Linked DNA regions of Saccharomyces cerevisiae S288C. The protein of the gene in region 1 binds, or shares a complex with, the protein of each later gene. Each region holds a gene or a part of one and is shown in the gene's direction. Other genes may lie near its edges.

Evidence for each region. The genes of interacting proteins can lie anywhere in the genome.
Region 2: the proteins of DAD4 (region 1) and ASK1 are in contact, whole or in part, in a cryo-EM structure (PDB 8Q84), measured with the Saccharomyces cerevisiae proteins. Residues at the interface, in NP_710144.3 of Saccharomyces cerevisiae: Asn3 (codon at 3,807), His5 (codon at 3,813), Val8 (codon at 3,822), Gln9 (codon at 3,825), Ile12 (codon at 3,834), Leu13 (codon at 3,837), Arg15 (codon at 3,843), Ile16 (codon at 3,846), Asn19 (codon at 3,855), Val20 (codon at 3,858), Arg22 (codon at 3,864), Leu23 (codon at 3,867), Ser26 (codon at 3,876), Val27 (codon at 3,879), Leu30 (codon at 3,888), Glu33 (codon at 3,897), Leu34 (codon at 3,900), Ile37 (codon at 3,909), Arg40 (codon at 3,918), Asn41 (codon at 3,921), Leu44 (codon at 3,930), Met47 (codon at 3,939), Ile50 (codon at 3,948); in NP_012872.2 of Saccharomyces cerevisiae: Leu10 (codon at 1,846), Glu11 (codon at 1,849), Asp14 (codon at 1,858), Gln15 (codon at 1,861), Ile17 (codon at 1,867), Thr18 (codon at 1,870), Leu21 (codon at 1,879), Gln22 (codon at 1,882), Ile24 (codon at 1,888), Asp25 (codon at 1,891), Leu28 (codon at 1,900), Ser29 (codon at 1,903), Cys31 (codon at 1,909), Phe32 (codon at 1,912), Ile35 (codon at 1,921), Thr36 (codon at 1,924), Ile39 (codon at 1,933), Ile40 (codon at 1,936), Val43 (codon at 1,945), Tyr46 (codon at 1,954), Ser47 (codon at 1,957), Cys50 (codon at 1,966), Glu51 (codon at 1,969), Ile53 (codon at 1,975), Met54 (codon at 1,978), Leu60 (codon at 1,996), Gly61 (codon at 1,999), Phe64 (codon at 2,008).

Annotation. Positions count from the first base shown.
Region 1 is NC_001136.10:1,106,288-1,112,298, reverse strand, and holds DAD4 (Dad4p), read left to right. Parts: upstream 1-3,800; coding exon 3,801-4,019; downstream 4,020-6,011. Other genes in the region: TIM11 (F1F0 ATP synthase subunit e), read left to right, coding at 6-296; mitochondrial 54S ribosomal protein mL38 MRPL35, read right to left, coding at 607-1,710; asparaginase ASP1, read right to left, coding at 2,452-3,597; auxilin-like protein SWA2, read left to right, coding at 4,198-6,011. UniProt on the Saccharomyces cerevisiae protein: Component of the DASH complex that connects microtubules with kinetochores and couples microtubule depolymerisation to chromosome movement; it is involved in retrieving kinetochores to the spindle poles before their re-orientation on the spindle in early mitosis and allows microtubule depolymerization to pull chromosomes apart and resist detachment during anaphase.
Region 2 is NC_001143.9:337,999-342,364, reverse strand, and holds ASK1 (Ask1p), read left to right. Parts: upstream 1-1,818; coding exon 1,819-2,697; downstream 2,698-4,366. Other genes in the region: SFK1 (Sfk1p), read right to left, coding at 1-1,053; MDM35 (Mdm35p), read left to right, coding at 2,923-3,183; DNA damage-responsive RNA polymerase-degradation factor DEF1, read left to right, coding at 3,612-4,366. UniProt on the Saccharomyces cerevisiae protein: Component of the DASH complex that connects microtubules with kinetochores and couples microtubule depolymerisation to chromosome movement; it is involved in retrieving kinetochores to the spindle poles before their re-orientation on the spindle in early mitosis and allows microtubule depolymerization to pull chromosomes apart and resist detachment during anaphase.

The DNA of each region.
Region 1 (6,011 bases):
AAAGGATGTCGACAGTTAATGTTTTGAGATACTCTGCGTTGGGTTTGGGGCTATTTTTTGGTTTTAGAAATGATATGATTTTGAAGTGTAATGCTAAGAAGAAAGAGGAGCAGGCACAGTACGAGGAGAAATTGAAGCTGGTAGAGGAGGCAAAGAAGGAATACGCCAAGCTACACCCTGTAGTAACTCCTAAAGATGTGCCTGCGAACGCCTCATTTAATTTGGAAGATCCTAATATAGATTTTGAAAGAGTTATTCTTAACGCCGTTGAATCCCTGAAGGAAGCTTCAACATAAATAGAAGCTTCAACATAAATAGGATACTAAAAATGCACATTAGCTCGCACTGAATGACGAAGTTATGATGGATTCTCGTTCGCTAGATGTTCCATATTTTTTTCTTCATTCGTTAGTGCACAAACAATAAGGAAAAAAATGAAATGTATATATTCTAGAACATACTAATATCATACGTATCGTATTGTAAACAAAATTCACATTCCAAAAATTTTTCAGATTCTTACTTTATATTATTTGCATCAAGCTTTATTAACAATGACACGTTATTTTATATGTACAGGATACTATAATGTCATACTATTTAGGATCACCTTCTAACTCTGCTAAAAACCCTTCCAGGTGGTAGGCCATATTTTTCTCTGACGGCGGCGACTTTGGCATCCCATTCGCTTCTCCAGATATGTGCCCCAATAGCGGTTAGATTGTATTTCTTCGTAAATTGCCTGATATCAAAATCATCTCTACTTAGTTCCTTTCGGTCAATCTCTAACATGTTAGGACCTTGCTTATCCTCGATTAAGGGTTGTCTGAATACCCAAACAACGAATCTCTGTTTTCCAGCATTCTTTTCAGGTACCGGAGGTAAGTAGTCAGCGATAATATTAGAACTGTGGAACTTTCTTGGATCTATTAAATTGTCATTATAAGTCAAATTAATATTCACCAATCCGTAACACAAAGCCGTTTTAAATGAGTCATTACTCAAATCTGGAACATCAGGATTGACTATCAGTACCGTATACAATTGTTTTTCAACGTTCACAAGTTCATATTCTTGAATTTTGAAAATGGGACGCATGGATGTGACATTGGACGATAGAAATTCACCAGGTTCGATCCACTTATTTACACCAGTAGAGAAGGGAAATTTGATATTCACTTCTGCCCGTGGAACCAGAGTTGGAAGAGTATCAGGAATGGCAGCCAACGTTTCTAACCTTTGCATCAATAACATCTGGCCGTACGATTCCCAATGTTGTTTCCCCAAATGTCTGTACACTGGCACATCATAATCTATTATATCCTTAACATTGTTCAACTTGTTATTAAACTGAAAATTGTATTGTACCTCAGGATTATTGATCTCTGCTTTTATGAGAAGTGCATCCTTCTTCAAGGGATTTTTAGTCTTATTGGCCAACTCATAAAACTTACTGGATCTTTGCTCAAGAAAATCATAACTCATCCTGAAAATCTCATCAATGTGTTCTGGAGGTGAATATTTGATACGGTTACTTCTTCTGCTGATAGATGGTGGGTCTAGAGAAGCTTTCTTCTGGAAAAGGTAATTTTTCACTTTTGAAGATTGGATAGAAAGTGAACTAGGCCTTGTGGTAAAGTCCGACCAAATATGCGAAGTAGCATTAGGTTTTTGGAGGATTTTAGTGGTATGAATAGATCTTCGTAACATAGTTCGGCAGTGACCTTGATTTCTGTAAAGATCTCTGAATAAGCTTTTTGCTGTAGTCTGATATTGTATTGGATACTGTTGTCTTATCCCAGACCTTCCGGCTTCCGGTTTAGCCCGGAAAATTTGAAAAGACTGCGACAGTAAATCCCAAACACATAAGAAAATAAAAAAAGGAATACATAAACAAAAATGGATATATAAAGGCTAATTTTTTTTTGTTTATCAAATATTCCTTATTTTTTAACTTTCTTAAAAATATTTAAACACCAGATTTCGAAAAAAGTAATATTTATTCTTTAAAAATGCGGTGACCAGCGGGCGATGATAATCAAATATTTAAAAATGATATAATGATAAAACTTGAATTATTTTTATAGGAAAAGTGGAACCAAAAGATTTTCTAATGCACTGATATCATGAGCAGTTAATGAAAAATTATTAATATTATTTTTTTTATATTTTTATTCAAAAATAACATTCAAAATTTAATTTTAATAAACTCATTTAAAAAAAACCTCTAAAAACATGAAGATAGAACTATAATAACGGCTTCAGTATTCAAGACAAAGCCATGTGCAGGTGAAACGATAGAAAAGTGACATAGCCGAGACAATCTAAATGAAGAATTCCTGTACTCATCTCAGACTAGCATTAACAGGGACTTGCATAATTATATCTCTATCTCTGTGTCTATGTATATATATATATATATCGACACAAATGCAAAAAATTACAAAATTTTCACCCACCATAGACGCCAGTGAAAACATGTTTAATTTCTTCCAACGTGTAGTTACCTGCCAAACATAATTGTAACAAGATTCTGCTCTTTTCAGGGCTTAGATAACCAGATGCGATGAGATTATCCTCCTTTGAACCTTTCTTTGGTACGTTGGCAATAGGCACCATACCATCCATCGATCTCTTGGAATATACGATCGGCAAACTCAATTTCATGCAGGTTTCATTGACCTCCTCCGGCAATGAACCAGCACCCATGGTAGCAAGAACAATACCATCATACTTATCTGCCACTAAGTTGACTATAGCTGGCGGAAAGGCTTGGTGAGCATATAAAATGCAAACCTCTGGTAATTTAAAATGCTTACCGTCCACTCTCAGTTTGAATTTGTGGCAACCTTGCGGTTTCACAGGAGGATAATAGTAGTGAATTTCATTGTTGACAAAATTTCCTAAATAGCCTTGTCTAACATTAAAAGAATCCAAACTATTTGCATTCGTCTTAGTAATGTAGTAACCAGAGGAAATTTGGTCATTCAAGGAAACAAGAACACCTCTTCCTCTAGATTTTGGATTTGAAGCAATGCAAATTGCTTGGTAAAGGTTCATAGGGCCATCAGCAGAAACGCTGGTTGAAGGACGCATCGAACCAACAAAAACAATAGGAACGTCGCCAGCATCAATAGTACTTTCAATAAAGAATGCAGTTTCAGATAGCGTATCAGTCCCATGGGTAATAACTATACCGTCAAAAGCCTGCAACGATTCTGAGACGCCCTTATAAATTTTATAAAGAATATCCTCGTTTATGTCTTTAGAATCCACGTTGCATAGTTGCTCATATTCAATGTCACAGACCTTGGATATATCTGGAATGGCATCCAATAGATCTTGGATGGTCAGGTCAACATGATAGCCGGCAGTTTGAGAGGAGTCTATAGCTTTCGATGCAATAGTACCACCGGTACCCAAGATTTTGATTCTTGGTAAGCTACGTTGTTGGCAAGCGATGCCGCTGCCATTCACAGCGGCATTTTGAGACTTTAGAATCTCTGGAATAGTCTCTGGACAGTTGCTTTGCACAACAAACTGAGAATTTTCAACATCTGGGCAGATGGTAGTGATTTCAACTGAATCGCTTTTCATGATACGCTTCCAAAAGTGCGATGAGAGTGCTGTTATCCTCCACTGTCTTCAAACACATTTCTTCAACAAAGTCATCGTCATCATCTTTTTTTTTTTTTTTTCATCGAGTATTTTTTCACACGAACGGCACAAGTAGCCTTCAACTGTAATAAACAAAAGCAGATAGGGAGGAAAAGAAGTGAGTTTAGGAAAGAAAGCATAACATGGAGAACCCTCATGAACAAGTGCAGGCTAACATACTTTCGCGAATAATTGGTAATGTCAAAAGGCTCAATGAGAGCGTGGCAATTCTTAACCAGGAGCTTGTGACCATTAATAATCGGAACAAAAATCTAGAAATCATGGGCGCAATTTGTGATAACTACCATAGTAGCGTCCAATTCAACCTGGAAGCGACCAATAACAAGAAGCCACCTCTTTAATTCACCAATTTTCTATATACGCATACTCATATACACATATATATATGCTATACCGTTTCTAATATATTCATTTAAGATCACTGTTTCCTGCGAAAAGGAGAAAAAAATAACAGCACATCGCTTAACCTATTCCTGTGCTTCTGGAAAGGACGCAGCCTGCAAGAAACAGTCAACATCAATGTCAGATCCATTTGCACATTTACTGACTTCTTTGAAGAATAAGGACTCTGCATCTGCATCCAAGGAAACAACTCCTCAGAGCAGCAATTCGCCTTCCATTACTGGTTCCGCTGTTGCAGATGTTGCAAGGACGGATAAAAGCCCCAATGATAGTCTGCATTCAATTTCAGCTCCTCCGCTGATACCGTCACCGAAGGTAGATTTTTCTGCACCTCCTTTGGTCCCAACTAATAGCACCACTAAATCTAATACTGCCAACAACACACCTCCCTCGGCTCTTGCCAATACCGATGACGACTTCAATCAACTATTTGGTATGGGCACAGTAACTACAACGGATACGATCCAAAAACCGGATGAGGATTACTATGGAAGCAAGGAAGACCACCTTTACAATGGTGATGACGCCTTAGTTGATGAAGTTAAGGATATGGAAATAGCAAGATTGATGTCTCTAGGTTTATCAATTGAAGAAGCCACTGAGTTTTACGAAAATGACGTAACTTATGAAAGATATTTGGAGATTTTAAAGTCAAAGCAAAAGGAGCGCAACGATCTAGCTATAAGAAAGAAAGAAAGTGGTATAAAAATGGAAAAGTCAGGATTATCCAACATTGTTGGTACAGATAGCAATAATTTATTCAGCATGGCCACTGATTTTTTCAATAAGGGTAAGAAACTGGTAGACCAATGGACCTCCTTCCCACCTGAGGCAAATGATAGACTGAATAATTACTCAAAAACTCATGATAAGGTTGAGGATTATGATTTGCCTCAAGTAAACGACTCACCCAATAGAATTTTGTTTGAAGATAATGAAGTCGTAGAGAACTTACCACCTGCCGATAATCCGGATCAAGATCTTTTAACTGATTTCGAAACAAAGATTGATATAACAAAGAGGACAGCGCCTGATGTCTCCCACTCCTCCTCACCGACTTCTGGTATACTAATTGAAGAAAATTCGCGAAGAAATGAGCCCCTGATAGAGGATAGTCTTCTCGACTTTTCAGAAGGAAATCTCACCAATAGTAAAAGCAATGAAGATAGCACCCTCTTCAATGAAAACAGCAACACTGACTCTACAATACCCATCTCAGATATTGAATTATCGGGGTATAACGAATTTAAGGCGAAAGGTACTAGTTTGTTCAAGAACGGGGATTATATTAACTCATTACAAGAATATGAAAAGTCTTTAAATACATTGCCTTTAAATCATCCATTGAGGATCATTGCATTATCAAACATTATTGCCTCGCAACTGAAAATCGGTGAGTACTCTAAGTCCATAGAAAACTCCAGCATGGCTTTGGAATTATTCCCATCAAGCAAAGCTAAGTGGAAGAATAAAATCTCAAATAGTGACCCTGAAAGATCATTTAACGACATCTGGCCAAAGATTATGATTAGGCGTGCTGAGTCTTTTGAACATTTAGAAAGTTTCAAAAAAGCACTAGAAACATACCAAGAGCTGATTAAGAAGAATTTTTTTGATGATAAAATCATGCAGGGAAAAAGAAGATGCCAAGACTTTATTAATCCTCCCCCTGTTAAAAAATCCATGCCCGTTAAGAAGAAGACAACGACAACCTCGCCTGCAACAAAAAAACAGAACTTAACCGCTTCTTCTTCAAATTCTCCAATTTCTGTTGATAGCACTTCAGAAATAAAAAAACGGGAGCTAGAAAACGCTAAACTGGCGCTATATGATAAAGTATTTGAGAAAATTAGCTCCTGGAAGGATGGCAAAGACGATGACATTCGTCATCTGTTAGCAAATTTATCCAGCTTACTAACATGGTGCAATTG
Region 2 (4,366 bases), on another chromosome or scaffold:
TACTTGAATAGATTCGTTGGAAGAGGAATTATTGTAAATATTTGAAGATGCTGTTTCTGTGGCAATCACGCCGGCGTTATCGTCCGAAGGCAAAACGTCTTCACTGTGGTAGAGGCCTAGCGCCTTGTCATACTTGTAATAACCCGAAAATGATTCCACGTGGTTGAAATAGCGGGATTGTCTGTATCTTCCACCTAAATAAAAGTCGGCGGAAAGAATCATAAATATGATACCAAACCAAAATGCTAGCAACCATTCGAAACAAGCACTCTTAGATCTATCATTGATAGCACCAAAACAAATGGCCCATACAACTGCGAGAGTTAACCATATAACTTTTAGAGTTGCACTGATGGTAAATTTATTCCATACATGGCCTTTCCATTTATACCAAGGCAGCTCATCCACAGTGTTATAATCTTGGTTAAAGCTTTTTTCAGATGATTGAGGATTGAAATGAGGGCTGGCTAGGGGGTGGACTGAGGCATAGTGCCTTCCCATGAGGAAATACTCTGCAATCAAGCAGCAAGTGGATAGGAACATGAAGACGACGAAAACAGAGACCATAGCAATGTGAACGCGATGGTACAGGGCGGTTGAGAAGATGGAACTGAATAAAAGGGCTAGTTCACCAATGCTGCCGAGAACAAAAGCTGCGAAAATCAGGTTCCGTTCATCCTTTGTGTAATATGGAGGCATTAAGTATTTACCGCTGTGCAATTTCTCAGCATAAGATGTGGAATCAGAGATAGAAGGGTCTTTTTTTTTCAGTTGGAAAGGCAGATAGCCGGATCTTTGAAAAAACTCAAGGGCAACAGTGATTACATAGCCTAGACCCTGCCAGCCGGCGCACGATATAAACAGTGGCCTTAAATTAGTGGCACCTATATCTGAAATGTACACAGGGAATTGCTCCGAGTGCATGAACCAATATATGGGATGGCCTTGACTGGCCCAGCAAATAAGCATGGCTATCAGCATACCATACCATGGAATGAAGGCAATCCAGGGTACTATGAACAGCCAGTTACCTGGACTTTTAAATTGAATCATGCTATTGCTTGTACCTTCTATGTGTTTTTACTATGTAGCAGAACTTTTTACTATGAATGTTAAAAGTATCTAAAGGAAAAAAAATCCCGCAAAAAATTGTGTCTTATTATTTAGGTTTTTAGTTGTCCAGATGTTAAATCAGTAAATCTCAACTTCAGGGAATAACTATATTTATAAACTGAATGCCCCTAAGAAGGAGTGAAAATTCCGGTTTCATTCTCCTTCGCTTAGATGACAAATCTTCCAGGCTGAAAAAAGTTGCTATTTTTCCAGTTTTTTTTTTTCATCCATTTACTTTACTGCCGCGGATCCTTCAATTGAACAGAGCCCTTAAGCCGCAGAGGGGTAAGAGATCTTCGTTTTTGAACAGCCGTGGAAGATGTTTAGAGTTGGATATGGCTGGCAAGACCGTTGTGTTAGTCTTCATTGATAATCTTGGGCCTTATCCCGTCCTACTTGCACTATTATAGTGGAAATGCGATATGTCCGGTGCGTCATAGAGGAACGGAGGCCCTTGCTTGATTAGTAGCTACTCCGATTAAATGCGGTAGTGCCGCGCGGGTAACAGAACAGCGAGTTTTTCCTGTTTTCTTTTCCGTTCTTTTCCGTTTGTTTCCGTTCTTTTCCGTTTTTTTTTTCCGTTTTTTTGGTTTGTTTTGGTGAGCTGAGGCATCAACAAAATAGATATCTACAGTTTGGGGTGGGAATAGAGCCAGGTTGATCAACGTATGGAAAGAGCAACATAAGGGATTGTTGACACAAAAAATGGATTCTGCAAGCAAAGAGGAAACATTGGAAAAACTTGATCAAGAAATTACAGTGAACCTGCAGAAGATAGACTCTAACTTGAGTTTCTGCTTTCATAAGATCACCCAGGACATCATCCCACACGTGGCTACATATTCAGAAATATGTGAGCGGATCATGGATAGCACCGAATGGCTGGGGACTATGTTTCAAGAGACTGGGCTGGTGAATTTGCAGGCAAATGCAGCTGCACCAGTGGGAAACGCTCCAGTCAAAAGCCTTGTGAGCAATAATGTTGGTATATTTCCTACATCCGCTGAAGAGGCGAGTAGGCAGTCCCAGACAGACAATGGGCCTAACGAGGCAGATTCAGCTGTACATGTCAACCGGGATGTCCATTCTATGTTTAATAACGACAGTATAGATGATTTCCACACAGCGAATATAACATCCACGGGACAGATATTGAAACTTCCGGACTCTAGCGACGAAGATACTGGTTCAGAGGCGGTGCCTTCAAGGGAGCAAACAGACCTTACAGGCGAGGGTCATGGTGGAGCTGATGATGAGCAAGATGAAAGTACAATACAGAGACAAAGCCGCAAAAGAAAGATTTCGCTACTTTTGCAGCAGCAGTACGGGTCTAGTTCCAGCATGGTACCGTCTCCGATTGTGCCCAATAAAATGCGGAAGCAACTGGCTCATGAAGAACATATTAATAACGACGGCGATAACGACGATGAGAACAGCAATAATATAGAGAGCTCGCCTCTGAAGCAGGGGCACCACCACCCGAAGGGACAAGCGGATGATAACAACGAAGGGCCCGATGAAGAAGAGAGTACGAAAGAAGTACCAAAGCCTGGGACCATCATTCATTTTTCTACGAATAGATAGAATAAATAAGTACATACAATTTTTACTAGTGATGAATATCAGAACGCAGGGTAATGGGCCCGCTATATTTTTTCTTCGATATAGGGAGAGCCACATTCAGAATATTCAGAGTATTTGCATGTAGAAATTTATTCTAAGTGCGCCAGATATATGCCGGGAGAGGTCATTAGAAAACATCTGTTTGTGTTTTAACTTGAATTACAATAACAATAATACCAGTTTTATATGGGGAATATAATGTCAGCTAGTTTTGCGCCTGAATGCACTGACCTGAAGACGAAATACGATAGTTGTTTTAATGAATGGTATAGCGAAAAATTCCTGAAGGGAAAATCCGTTGAGAACGAGTGCTCAAAACAATGGTACGCTTATACTACATGTGTCAACGCAGCTCTCGTCAAACAAGGTATTAAGCCTGCTCTAGACGAAGCTAGGGAGGAGGCGCCGTTTGAAAATGGCGGCAAACTAAAAGAAGTTGACAAATGAAGTATATATTTTAGCACAGAATGTGCATTATTCAACATGTAAATACTAATACTGCAATATCGACTTATAATAATGTATAGTGATCCGTATATTAATAGATCTGTTTCAATTCTTTACCTTTTTAGGATATCCGTCACCCGTGATTCCGTCGGAGGTGAGCACTCGCCCAAATAAATAACGGGAAATGGTGGCAAAAAGTAGTGGCGGGAAAAGGAAAAATTTTCGTTCTCTCCCATATAAACGTTTCATTCCTTTTCCTAAGTCTTTTACAGTAATTTCAGAAACATTCGTATTTTATATTTGATCTTTTGAAGCTACAAGAAAAACTCTTACCAATTACCCCAAAAAAATCACCATCATAAAGTACTTACATATTTATTTTTGTTTGGTCGTTTTCTCAATATAATCTACATCATCATATATATATAATGTCTACACAATTTAGGAAGTCTAATCATAATAGTCATAGTAGTAAAAAACTAAATCCTGCGCTAAAGTCCAAAATAGATACGCTTACAGAATTGTTCCCTGACTGGACGAGTGATGATTTAATTGATATAGTTCAAGAATATGATGATTTGGAAACTATAATTGATAAAATTACTTCCGGCGCAGTGACAAGATGGGATGAAGTAAAGAAACCTGCTAAGAAGGAAAAATATGAAAAAAAGGAGCAACAACACTCATATGTCCCTCAACAACATTTGCCAAATCCAGAAGATGATATTACATATAAGAGTTCTAATAATAGCAATTCTTTTACTTCTACAAAGCATAACAGTAGTAACAATTATACTCAAGCCAGAAATAAGAAGAAGGTACAAACACCACGAGCTCATACAACCGGGAAACATGTTAATCTCGACAAGGGGAAGCACGTACCATCCAAGCCTGTTTCAAACACTACATCGTGGGCAGCAGCTGTTTCTGTAGATACTAAACATGACGTTCCTCAAGATTCAAATGATAACAATAATGAAGAATTAGAAGCACAAGGGCAACAAGCGCAGGAGAAAAATCAAGAAAAAGAGCAAGAAGAGCAACAACAGCAGGAAGGGCATAATAACAAAGAAGAACACAAACAAATAGAGCAACCTTCTTTATCTTCAAAGAAAACAACTTCTAGGACATCTGCTTCACAACCAAAGAAAATGTCGTGGGCTGCAATTGCTACACCAAAGCC